Oryzias latipes: one gene and its partners. The protein of the gene in region 2 interacts with the protein of the main gene of each other region in a pairwise test. Links are inferred from orthologs where the notes say so. Each region holds a gene or a part of one and is shown on either strand. Other genes may lie near its edges.

The links.
Region 1: the proteins of zinc finger and BTB domain-containing protein 26-like (region 2) and sumo1 interact in binary tests that used the Homo sapiens proteins (3 or more experiments, as listed by UniProt). The two-hybrid records come from large-scale screens. The link is inferred for Oryzias latipes from reciprocal best matches to the Homo sapiens genes ZBTB26 and SUMO1.
Region 3: the proteins of zinc finger and BTB domain-containing protein 26-like (region 2) and pbk interact in a two-hybrid assay, tested with the Homo sapiens proteins (2 studies listed by BioGRID and IntAct). The two-hybrid records come from large-scale screens. The link is inferred for Oryzias latipes from reciprocal best matches to the Homo sapiens genes ZBTB26 and PBK.

The regions. Positions count from the first base shown.
Region 1 is NC_019860.2:9,899,752-9,903,586, reverse strand, and holds sumo1 (small ubiquitin-related modifier 1), read left to right. Parts: upstream 1-1,473; 5' UTR 1,474-1,494; coding exon 1,495-1,506; intron 1,507-1,880; coding exon 1,881-1,955; intron 1,956-2,207; coding exon 2,208-2,285; intron 2,286-3,097; coding exon 3,098-3,169; intron 3,170-3,245; coding exon 3,246-3,314; 3' UTR 3,315-3,335; downstream 3,336-3,835. UniProt on the Homo sapiens protein: Ubiquitin-like protein that can be covalently attached to proteins as a monomer or a lysine-linked polymer.
Region 2 is NC_019870.2:15,290,255-15,294,252, forward strand, and holds the start of zinc finger and BTB domain-containing protein 26-like, read left to right. Parts: upstream 1-1,198; 5' UTR 1,199-3,379; intron 3,380-3,573; 5' UTR 3,574-3,577; coding exon 3,578-3,880; intron 3,881-3,998. UniProt on the Homo sapiens protein: May be involved in transcriptional regulation.
Region 3 is NC_019882.2:249,394-253,532, forward strand, and holds the start of pbk (lymphokine-activated killer T-cell-originated protein kinase), read left to right. Parts: upstream 1-1,339; 5' UTR 1,340-1,525; coding exon 1,526-1,665; intron 1,666-3,363; coding exon 3,364-3,503; intron 3,504-3,583; coding exon 3,584-3,753; intron 3,754-3,815; coding exon 3,816-3,945; intron 3,946-4,139. UniProt on the Homo sapiens protein: Phosphorylates MAP kinase p38. Seems to be active only in mitosis. May also play a role in the activation of lymphoid cells.

The DNA.
Region 1 (3,835 bases), on a different chromosome or scaffold from region 2:
TCAAAGTTAGAATATTGAAGATTACATCAAATCAAACTTTATTTATATAGCTCTTTTCCTACAAAAGCACAACCGAACGTGCTTTGCACCAATACAAAATAAATAAATAATATAAAAACAAACACGAAAACTATATATACATTTAAAAAACGCCTCTCTCACCCTCCGCGGGTGGTTTCTCCTCCAAGCTCGGGTCCTCTACCAGAGGCCTGGGAGCTTGAGGGTCCTGCAGTATCTTAGCTGTTCCTAGCACTGCGCTTTTCTGGACTGAGAGGTCTGAGGTCTTTCCAGGGATCTGTTGTAGCCACTCCTCCAGCTTGGGGGTTACTGCCCCGAGTGCTCCAATTACCACAGGCACCACTGTCACATTCACTTTCCATGCTTTCTCCAGTTCTTCTCTGAGTCCCTGGTATTTCTCCAGTTTCTCATGTTCCTTCTTCCTGATGTTCCCATCGCTTGGCACTGCCACATCCACCACAACGGCTTTCCTCTGTTCTTTATCCACCACTACAATGTCTGGTTGGTTCGCCATTACCATCCTATCAGTCTGGATCTGGAAGTCCCACAGGATTTTTGCCCTCTCATTCTCTACCACCTTCGGAGGTGTTTCCCATTTTGACCTTGGGGTTTCCAGTCCATATTCTGCACACATGTTCCTGTATATTATTCCAGCTGCTTGATTGTGGTGCTCCATGTATGCTTTCCCTGCCAGCATCTTACACCCTGCAGTTATGTGCTGGATTGTTTCAGGCGCTTATTTGCACAGCCTACACCTTGGGTCTTGTCTGGTGTGGTAGATCTGAGCCTCTATTGCTCTGGTGCTCAGGGCTTGTTCCTGAGCTGCCAGGAGGAGCGCATCAGTGCTGTCCTGTAGGCCAGCCCTCTCTAGCCATTGGTAGGACTTCTTGATATCAGCCACTTCAGTTATGGTCCGGTGGTACGTCCCATGCAGGGGTTTGTCTTCCCATGAGGATCTGTCCTCCAGCACTGTATCCTCTGCTCTCCATTGCCTGAGACATTCACTGAGCACACTGTCGGCTGTCGACTGTTTCATCCTCTCTCTCTCTCTCTCTCTCTCTCTCTCTCTCTCTCTCTCTCTCTCTCTCTCTCTCTCTCTCTCTCTCTCTCTATATATATATAGTTATTTATTAAATTATCATAAAATGCTATTTTTTAAGCCCATGTTAAAAATATATAAATTTAATCTAAACATATATATTGCATTTGAATATTGAACAGGAGTAAAGACTTCATAATACTGGAAAAGGCAAGGTTTTTGTATGAGTGTGTGTGTGTGTGTGCGCGCGCGCGCTTTTCTTATGGAGACAATCCGCTACAAAACAAATTCCTTCACGCGACTTTTATTTTGAACAGCCCTGCGTCACTTCCGTTTGATGTCGCATTCCTCACAACATAAAGCAAGAGCCACCGCTAAAAGCTAACGCTACACCTTGAAGGGATTCCCTCCCCCTCCCGCACACAGTCAGGATAAACATGTCAGACACGGTAAGAAAAAGAACGTTGAAGAGTTCGAATGATTTTCTGTCAACACTTTACTAAGAAATCGATAATGTGTTTGTTATGGACGCTGCCTCGTACGTGATTATCTAACAACATGCTAACCGTTAGCTGTTCTAGCTGCAGGCCTCTGACTGAACTTAGCGATTTTTTTTTACCCTCCACGTGAGCTTTTGTGTAGTTTTTTGAGATTTTTTTTTGGGGGGGGGGTCAGAACTGGTGCTGGCGGGACCGAACCCACACTCGTGTCTATGGTGGATGTTCTCTGTGTTCGTGGAACCCGCGGAGTAAACAGACGGGCCTTCCTCGAAAGCGTGCTAGCGGTCGCATCATGTAGCAATGTTTTGTGATGTTTCTGTCAGGAGACGAAACCTTCCAATCAGGACGGAGGCGACAAGAAAGATGGAGAGTACATCAAACTAAAAGTGATCGGTCAGGTAGGTTGTTTTTGTGTCTCTGCTTTTGTTGTCACTACTGTCTGCATTTAGAAATAAACCGTATTCTACTCCATTTCAAATAAAGTTATGGCACGTGGTGGTGTCTCTATTATTGTTTATAGAAGGCTATTATTTTTGGTCAATGATTCTGCCAATTCTTTATCATTTACAGATGTATTCGTTTTAATGCTGGAAGTTGTTATTGTTTTTGAGCTGCATCACCTTTTTGTGTGTGTCCGTTTCTGCCCACAGGACAGCAGTGAAATCCACTTCAAGGTGAAAATGACCACACATCTAAAGAAGCTGAAAGAGTCTTACAGCCAGAGACAGGTATGAAGAGGAAGACGCATCGCCACTTTTCCAATGACAGCCTTCGCAGATCCATCCAAATGCAGTTCCTTATGGTAGAACACGCCATTATTTAAAAAAAAGATAACTCTGATCATCTTTTGATCTATTGCAAAAAATAAAAAGTTCCTAGTGATTTTTATTTATTTTTTTGACACGCTCTCCCGCTAGCTTACTAAGACTCCCAAGCTAATATTAGCAGTGCAACAAAAATGGCGAGCAATATCGGAGCTATCCAGCTGCACAGTTTGGATCCGGATGCTCGGACGAGGAAAATAAAAAAAAGTTACACGAGTCTATTTGTCTGCAAGGGAGCCTTGTGGCTTGCCGTAGTAGCTTTGGAATCATACCTGCAACCTTTTTCCAACTAAGTTTAATTTTGTCTGCTCCTGATTCACAACGATTTTAAATATAAAAAAAAAATAACCCAATTTTAAATGTAATTTTAAGCTTAATTTTCTTTAACCCTTGTGCTATCCTAGGCCCTTTAACATTAGGAGTTGGGTCATCTAGACCCACTAGACAGTGCGCTTAACCTTTCTTCTTCAATGATTTGTGATCTTCACTGGTGTCCATGGATTACATGAAATCTTTCCACTTTTGTCATGGTAGGGAGAACACGTCAATGTAAGGGTGGGGTCATCTAAGATAGCATAAGGGTTACACCTAAAAGCTCGTCTATGTAATCGTTACTCGTGCTCCTAGCGCCTCGCGGCGGCGTTCAAGGAGAGCTGATTGAAGGAAAAATAAAAATCTCCTAATGGTCTAACAGCAGAGGATGACGTTTCTTTCAGGGAGTCCTGGCGAGCACGCTACGGTTTCTTTTTGAGGGACAGAGAATCGCAGATAACCAAACCCCAAAAGAGGTAAGCGACACTCGCAAGAGCGAAAACCAAGCACTAGTGGTCACTAAGGTTTGTGTTTTCTTCTGTTTTTTTATAGCTGGGCATGGAGGATGAGGACGTCATCGAAGTTTATCAAGAACAGACCGGCGGACTTTGGAATCATTAAAGCCACAATTTCTGATGTTTTTTTTTCTTCTTTTTTTTCCCCTTTTATTCATGTTTTTTATCATTTGGTTTTGTATGTATGTATGTATTTCTGTTAAGTTTCAAACCATCTGAATCAAAAAAGCAAAAGGACTCAATCAGGGCTTCCATGTGTGCGGTCGGGGAGGCGGACAGACCGAGGACTCGAACCTGTGGCTCTGCCGTCGGAGGACACTCTAAGATTTTTACCGGCAACCATTTCGCTTTCGTGTTTTAAATTTTTATTTTATCAACCTTGCTGGAATGATGTGCTTTTGCAGGAAAATGGTTTTTAGGAGCTTCTTCCTCCCCAAAATGTTTTTTAAAATTGTCTCATAGAGGAAATATGTCAGATGGCATTCTGGGTAAGTGCGGTTACAGAAACCGTAAAAAGAAACCGATCAGAAGCATACCAGAGCGGCATGCTTCTGATCTTTCCATCTATTCAAAACAAAAAAAGTTGTTTTCCTGGAACGGACCAAAGCGTCTGTCCAAATGAAGGGG
Region 2 (3,998 bases):
ATCACATCACTCCTGTGTTAGTTTCGCTCCATTGGCTCCCAGTTGATTCCAGGATCAAGTTCAAGATCCTCCTGTTAACCTATAAGGCCTTACATGGAATGGCCCCGTCCTATATTAAGGACCTCATAGTCCCTTACCATCCAATCAGAACACTTCGCTCCCAAAATGCAGGACTGCTTGTGGTTCCTAGAATTAGTAAAAGTACGGTTGGAGGTAGAGCGTTTAGCCACCAAGCCCCTGTCTTATGGAATAAACTCCCAGCTCATGTAAGAGAGGCCGACTCAGTTTCTACATTCAAAGCTAGACTGAAAACATTCCTCTTTGGACAGGCTTATTGTCAGACTAGTTAGTATTCAGAGATTATTTAACTTAATGTTAATTTGTTTAAATTAAACTTAATAATAACTATTTCTTTTAAAAGGCTGCTAGAAGTTGAAGCTGGGGTAACTATGGTGCACTGGGGTTCTGTCCTCTTTCCTGTTTTTATTTCTACCCTTCCTCTCCTCTATTCTTGATCATAATTTATCATTTAGTTCTCCATCCCTCTGTTTGGTGCAGTGCGATTCATGTATTGTCCCTCTTTTCCTCTCCCCTCCTGGGGAGTGGGAGTGCTTCCAGACTCCAGTTGGCTCATCCGTGCTCCAGTTCCTGATCGTTTACCTCGCCTTTGCTCCTGCTCCTACACCTGGCTGTGGATCCTGCCTCTGGCTCATCTCTGGCTCGTCTCTGCTCTGTACCTGCACCTGGCTGTGGTTCCTGTCTCCGGCTCGACTCGCGCCTTTGACTGTCCCCACAACCACGGCAGGATGAAGCTCGTCTGCTGGACTTTTATATATGTAGTTGTAGATTTAGATAAGTTAATTCTTCTCTAAGATTTCTGGTAAATCGCCTGTCCGTCCTGGGGGAGGATCCCTCCTTCATGTGGGCACCCCTGAGGTTTCTTCGTTTTTTCCGGAATCCGTTTTTTTTGGGAGTTTTTCCTTACCGCGAAGGGGGGTCTAAGGGCAGGGATGCCAGTATAGCTTAGTCAGTTTGTTAGTTCATTTTAGTATTTTTCTATTGAACTCTTTGTATTCGTGATCCTTTTGATTTCATGTTTTACTTCGAAGCCCATCGAGACGACTGTTGTTGTGATTTTGGGCTATACAAATAAAATTGAATTGAATTGAACAAACCCTTAAACTTACATATTCAAGTAGTAAAAGTGAAGTTATGGCTTTCTTAAAGGATAACTAAATTTACTCCATCATTAGGCAACTAACAGTGTGCAGAATTATTATGCAACTCAATGAAAAACAAAGATTTTCCCATCTCACTTGTTTATTTTAACCTCTTAAAGTTAGAATGACAACTAAACTAAGAAAAAAATACATATAAACCTTTCTGAAATGTGAAAAGGAAAACCTCAGTGACCAATGTAGCTGCCTTTTTTTCAATGACAGACACAAGCCTTCCATTCATGGAGTCTGTCAGTTTCTTGATCTGCTCGGGATCAACTTTTTGTCCAGCCACGGTTTAGAGAGGTGTACCCACTTAAAAAAGGCCCAAAAATTCTCAATAGGGGTTAGGTCAGGTGAAGAAGGGGGCCATGTCATGAGGTTTTCATGTCTTGCATAAAAACGAGTGTCTTCTTGAAAGATGCAGACTGTTTCCTGTACCACTGCTTGAAGAAAGAGACTTCCATAAATTGGCAGTAGGTCTGAGAGTTGATCTTAAGTCCATTTTCAATTTGAAAAGGTCCAACTAGCTTATTTTTAATAATACCTGCCCACACCAGCCCCCCACCTCCACCTTGCTGGCGTCTAAGTCGAAGTGGAGCTCTGTGTCCATTACTGATCCAACTACGGGTTCATCTATCTGGTCCATCAAGAGTCACTCTCATCTCATCAGTCCACAAAACCTTTGAAAAGTCTGTCTTTAGATATTTCTTGGCCCATTCTTGACATTTCAACTTGTGCATCCTGTTGAGAGGTGGTCAGGTTTCAGCTTTTCTTACTTTAGCCATGACCCTGAGAACGGAACATCTCGGACTTCTTGATACTCCAGGTCGGTTGCAGTTGTGGAACATAGCAGCACGGGTGAATAAAGGCTTCCTGCCAGCTGCACGCTTGATTCTTCTCAAATCTTTGGAAGTTTCACACGTTTCTTGCGTCCTCGTTGACAATTTGCTACATAACACTTAGTTCTGCGGTCACACCCCCAGTATCTTGGATTCTTCATCCCTCTTAAAGACTTTTTACATTTTCTGATCTGTCAGAATCAGTTAAATCTCTCTTAAGGCCCATTTTACCTGCATGTCCTTATGTAGGATTTTGATCTTCCTCTGCCACGCCCTCTCTCCTTACATAAATGCGTATCAGTTGATATGCATTAATTCCAATATGCATTCAAGTTTACATGGCTTGATGTTGGCAATTGTGCTTACAATATTTATATGGTCAAAATGTTACCTCTCTAATGCTTATGCACACAGTGTATGCCTGCAGATATGGACCAGTAGCTTCAATAATTGAATCAAATCCCCACTGGAATCTGAAGTGCATTTTACGATTAGCCATAAAGGCTTCACATGTTCAGAAAGAGGTTTTTTTCTGTTTGCAGGCAAAGCTCCAGTCACTGTCTTCAACTTTTTTATTCCTTCAAAACCCTGTAAGACTAAAAACAAAACAAAAAAGGCAGATATTTTGCACAATATAATCATAAATGTTAGTTAGTTTTTATCTATCCACAAAACACTAAGACCAGTCAGTTGGGACTTTATTTTCCTTCTGCCAGTTCTGCGTAAAGAAAGGCGTCCTTTTTTAAGGAAATTTAAAAAAAAAAGATCCCAAATTAAAATGCAGCATTTGACATCCACATAGATCAATCGACAAGCAGCCTTTAATGTAAAGCATAAAGGATTGTACTGGTCATTGCATTGATTAGGGTACATACATTGAAAAAAAATGTTTCATTTGAATTCCCCTCTCTACCTTATGATAAGTAAAAATCATTTCCATGCTTGTCACTGGGCAAAGTTTGTGCGGTTTCCCTAAGAATTGAAACCCAGTCATCTCTGTCTCTTTCATTTGTGAGAATGACCGCTGTCTCACATTCAGGGGAAGAGGCTATACCGCCATCACGTGGTTTGTTTTAGCATTGCATCTTTTTTTGCTGATCAGTTCCACATTCTCTGCTCCATTCCCTGCAGCATTTCATACTGGCTCCTACTGTATGAAACATTATAGTTCCTCTACTAGTCGATACTAATGGAATAACTGTCTTGTACTGGGGGACTGCAGTGTTGAATACCAGATACCTACTTATTTGAAAAAGAAAAAAAAAAGAAAAAGGGATTCTTCTTTGGGAAAATTGGATCTGGATGGTTCCACATTTGATGGTAAGTCTGCATCCTATTCATGGATATAAAGAGTAAAAATTATTTTTAATTTTGAATGCTGGAATTTTTGTTTTGCATGTCAAAGCGTGCTATAGCTCAATATTTACATCAAGAAAAACCTTAGTCTAAATTAAAGTGTCAACATGTCATAAAGGTAAATCGACCCTTTTCGTTGATATCTTGACATCCCAAAGAACCATGGCAACCTCCTCTGATACCCTGCACTTCAGTTTCCCCACCTACGGAGACTCCATCCTTAGCAAAATGAATGTTTTAAGAGAGGAACATCAATTCTGTGACATAACTCTCCACGTCGGGACTCCAAAGGATGGCCTGCCTGTCCATTTCCACGGTCACAGAGTGGTGCTTGCAGCATCTTCAGACTTCCTTCGCGATCAATTCCTGCTCCATGAAGGCCAGGCAGAGCTGAGTGTGGGTGTGGTTTCCAGTGGGAGAGTTGCAGAGTCATTGTTCTTGTCCTGCTACACCGGAATCTTGGAGGTGCAACAGTCGATCTTCACGGTTCCCATGCAATTTCTGGTTGTCTTACAGCAACTTTTTAGCAATATCTCTTTAGTCTTGTAACTACCACCCATTTATATTGTTTGTCCTTTCGTAT
Region 3 (4,139 bases), on a different chromosome or scaffold from region 2:
CTTTGTCATGGTAGGGAGAACACGTCAATGGAAGGGAGGGGTCATCTAAGACAGCACAAGGGATAAATGACATCTTTCTTGAGGAAGACAATGATTACCATAGACCAGGGGTCGGGAACCTATGGCTCGCGATCCATATATGACTCTTTTGATGGTCACATGTGGCTCGCAGACAAATCTTTAATTATAGTTTTTTTTTTTTTCATTAGACCAGTCCTTCTCGGGCGCGATGCGATGCCAGAGGCGCGCAGTAGTAGCGGTGCTTGGAGAGAAAAATTCAGCGCCAGCGCTATCAGTTACTATTATCTATTATTTCAATTCAATTCACAGGTTTCCGGGTGCACCCGGAAACCTGTGAATTGCCGTGCCCAAAACTGCGCGCTCCCGTCTCTGAGAAAGAGCGCGCAGTTGCGGGGACGGGATGTGTGAGGAAGAAAGCAGAGGGTGGGGGGGTTGTGAGGGCAGCAGGTGAATCGCGCTGGGATTGTAAAAACGTAAAACCCGCTGCCCGTCACTCACTGCAGTGTGTGAGTGTGTGTTTGTCTCCCCGTCTGCATGTGATCAGTCTGTCTCACATCTACAGAACATTCAGACCTACGATCACGTTTAAAGTCTCAACGCCTGCATGAAGCAGAAACTCACCACGTATCAACCAGACTAGACCATCAGCAAAACTACCAAGAGAAATACTCATCGTTTATTAGCAACAGCATAACGATGTTATTAAAAAGAATCCACAGACTTATTGTACTTTAAAAATGTTGAAATTAAATCAAATGCACACATTCACTTGTATATTTAGTTTTAAACATATTGTCGCGGACTGAGTTTAACTTGGCTGTTGGGCCGCGTTAAACGTTCTGGAGTTCATTAAACGCATCAAGCAGAGATCTGATTGGCTCTCAGTTCTGTCGCTCAGCCTGTTGTCAGGTAGTTTGGACCAATGGGGTTCAGCTATGGGCCGAATAAGGGAAATGGGAGGACTGGAGCGGGAGCAGGGGAATATAAAGTTGGGAGAAGCGCTCTCGTGTCGGCGGGAGAGATTCAGGAGTTGCTGAATTAATTGTTCGGCGTTTGCTGCGGTCTGCAGTAACCAGAATAAAGAACCTTAAAAGAGGTTAAGTCTCCGTGCCTCAGTGTGGGAAAAGGACACTACATTATTGTATTGCTCTTTCAAAATTACATTTAAAAATATGTGGCGTTTATGGCTCTCTCTCGACAAAAAAGGTTCCCGACCCCTGCCATAGATTAAGGGGATTCATAGATTAAATGACAATACGACCCCCACCACTAGGTGGCGGTAATACGCATCGGCAACAAGACTCAACCGGAAGAAGAGCCCGGACCAAACCGGAAAAGAAAGTTTTGGCGGGTGGTTTGTTTACTCCGCGGAACCAGTAAGAACATTTGAAAACGGAGATTTTCTTTAGTAGAAACGTTTCACTGACATCCTCTTTACCAGAAAACCGACCCCGGTTTCCGGTAGAGGCTGAGAGTCCGGTCTGGTAGAACGTTTACCGACAGAATGGCGTCCAATGGCGGATTTAAAACTCCAAAAACCGTCCGGACCAGGAGTTCGGGGGGAACCCCCGTCACCATCCCGGCATCGCCCTTCATGAAGAAGTTGGGCTGCGGTACCGGAGTCAGCGTCTACCTGATGAACAGGTGTGTGTTCCGGTACCTGTCCGGGGTGTACCCCGCCTTCGTCCAACGGTAGCCGGGACCGGGACATAGTGGGTCAGGAAGATAGAAACATGTTCTTCCTTAGACCTGCTTCAGAGGATGAACGTCATTACATGTAAATAGAATGTAACATTACATGTTAAAATATCTGAAGGAAACATCTAAAAGTTATGTTTAAGTCAAATAATCAGTCAGTAAATCTTTTAAGTGGAGTTTAGTGGATCAGGGAGAAAACAAGGATTCATTATTTTCATCAATCAACAAAAAGTATGGAAGCGATTCTGTAGCATAATTAAAAATAAAAACCAAAACCACAAATTTTCTAAATGAAGCTGCATTTTTTAACTAAAAAATAAAAAAAATGAAAAATCAATTCTTCTTGAGGTTTTGGCTTGTATTTTGAATTATGCTACAGAATCTCTATAAAAATGTGTGAACAAAAGAGAAACAGAATTCAAATCCAAATTAGTCCTCATCAGTTCATGTAGGACCTGACAGGAACTCTGCGGGTCCAAACATCCTGCTTCTCTGGACACAGGCTTTGTCTCATCCTTCTGCCGTCATGTGATCCCAGACCCAGAAGACAAACCGTATTTTCCTGTGGATCCAGAAGACAAACCGTCTTCTTCTGTGGACCCAGAAGAAGAAACCGTCTTCTCCTGTGGACCCAGAAGTAGAAACCGTCTTCTCCTGTGGACCCAGAAGACAAACCGTCTTCTTCTGTGGACCCTGAAGACAAACCGTCTTCTTCTGTGGACCCAGAAGAAGAAACCGTCTTCTCCTGTGGACCCAGAAGACAAACCGTCTTCTCCTGTGGACCCAGAAGACAAACCGTCTTCTCCTGTGGATCCAGAAGACAAACCGTCTTCTTCTGTGGACCCAGAAGAAGAAACAGTCTTCTCCTGTGGACCCAGAAGTAGAAACCGTCTTCTCCTGTGGACCCAGAAGACAAACCGTCTTCTTCTGTGGACCCTGAAGACAAACCGTCTTCTTCTGTGGACCCAGAAGAAGAAACCGTCTTCTTCTGTGGACCCAGAAGAAGAAACAGTCTTCTCCTGTGGACCCAGAAGACAAACCGTCTTCTTCTGCAGTTATTTCACCGTTGGCCTCGTCGGTCCTGATCATCCTCTGACGGCACCGCAGTTCCAGTTTTCCTTCAGACTTGACTTGCCTCCACGTTGTTTTTTTTGGCTGACAGTCCTTCAGGACAGACTTTTCCAGACGGGTGAACTTTAGTCTCACTGTCAGATCTGAACTGATGGTTCTGCTGGATGTCTTTTGGTTTCACTGATGTCTGCTTCTTCAACCACTGCGTCCACTTTTCTCATCACTTCTTTGTGCTTCAGAACGTCTGGAAGCGTCTGCTGTCAGATGTTTGTCGGGGACAGACGGATGCTCTAGAACCTCCTGAAGTCTTGACAGCGGTTTCCCTTCAGTGTGGCGTTGATGATAATCTGTTGGTTGATCAAGAGCTTGATGCGTCATGATGGGTGGGGCAGAGGCTTTCGGTCCAGCCAAGAACGGCTTGTCCGGCTCTCAAACCCACGCTTTCACTCAGGCACAGGAAAAGGTCACAGCTTCTGATGTTTTTCTGATGGATGGATGGCTTTTAGGGAATTCTAGGGGTTATGGGTGTGGCTGTGGATCAGTAAAGACTCTGAACGTCCCGTCCTCCCCCAGAGAGGAGCAGATGAACGCGTCTCCGTGGGCAGTGAAGAAGATCAACAGCAAATGTGAATCCAAACAGGCTGCCGTTTACCAGAACCGTCTGAAGGAAGAGGCCCGCCTCCTGCGAGGAATCGACCATCCCAACATCATCGGTAAGGAGGCGATAGACGGTCAAACGTGGGGGGGGGGGTCTGACGACAGGATGCTCCTGCACGGTCTGTTCCCTCTGCAGGTTTTCGCGCCGTGGCCACCGCCAAAGACGGCTCCGAGTGTTTGGTGATGGAGTACGGCGGGGAGCGGTCACTCAACGACCTCATCGAGCAGAGGAGGGAGCAGGGTCTCAAGGCCTTCCCCGCCGCCAACATCGAGAAGGTGGCCCTGCATGTGGCGCGCGGCCTGCAGGTGAGACCCCGCCTCCTTTTTTCTGCGTGCTCCTGCAGAACTTCACGATTTCCCTGTTTCAGTACCTCCACAACGAGAAGAAGCTGCTGCACGGCGACATGAAGTCCTGCAACGTGGTCATTAAAGGAGACTTTGAGAGCGTGAAGATCTGCGATGTGGGCGTGTCTCTGCAATTAGACGAGAACATGACAGGTGAGCTGTCCAGTCTGAGCATGTTCAGTAGGACTCAAGTTGATCTTCGGCAGCTAGCTAGTCCGTGTGGAAGCAGGTTATGTAAACTCACCACTGTGAACAAATACTTGTTTTATGGCCTCCACGTTTCTGGAGTGAATGGGCGGAGCTTCATACGAAATGACGGAGCACCTTTGTTGAAACAGTAAAAACAT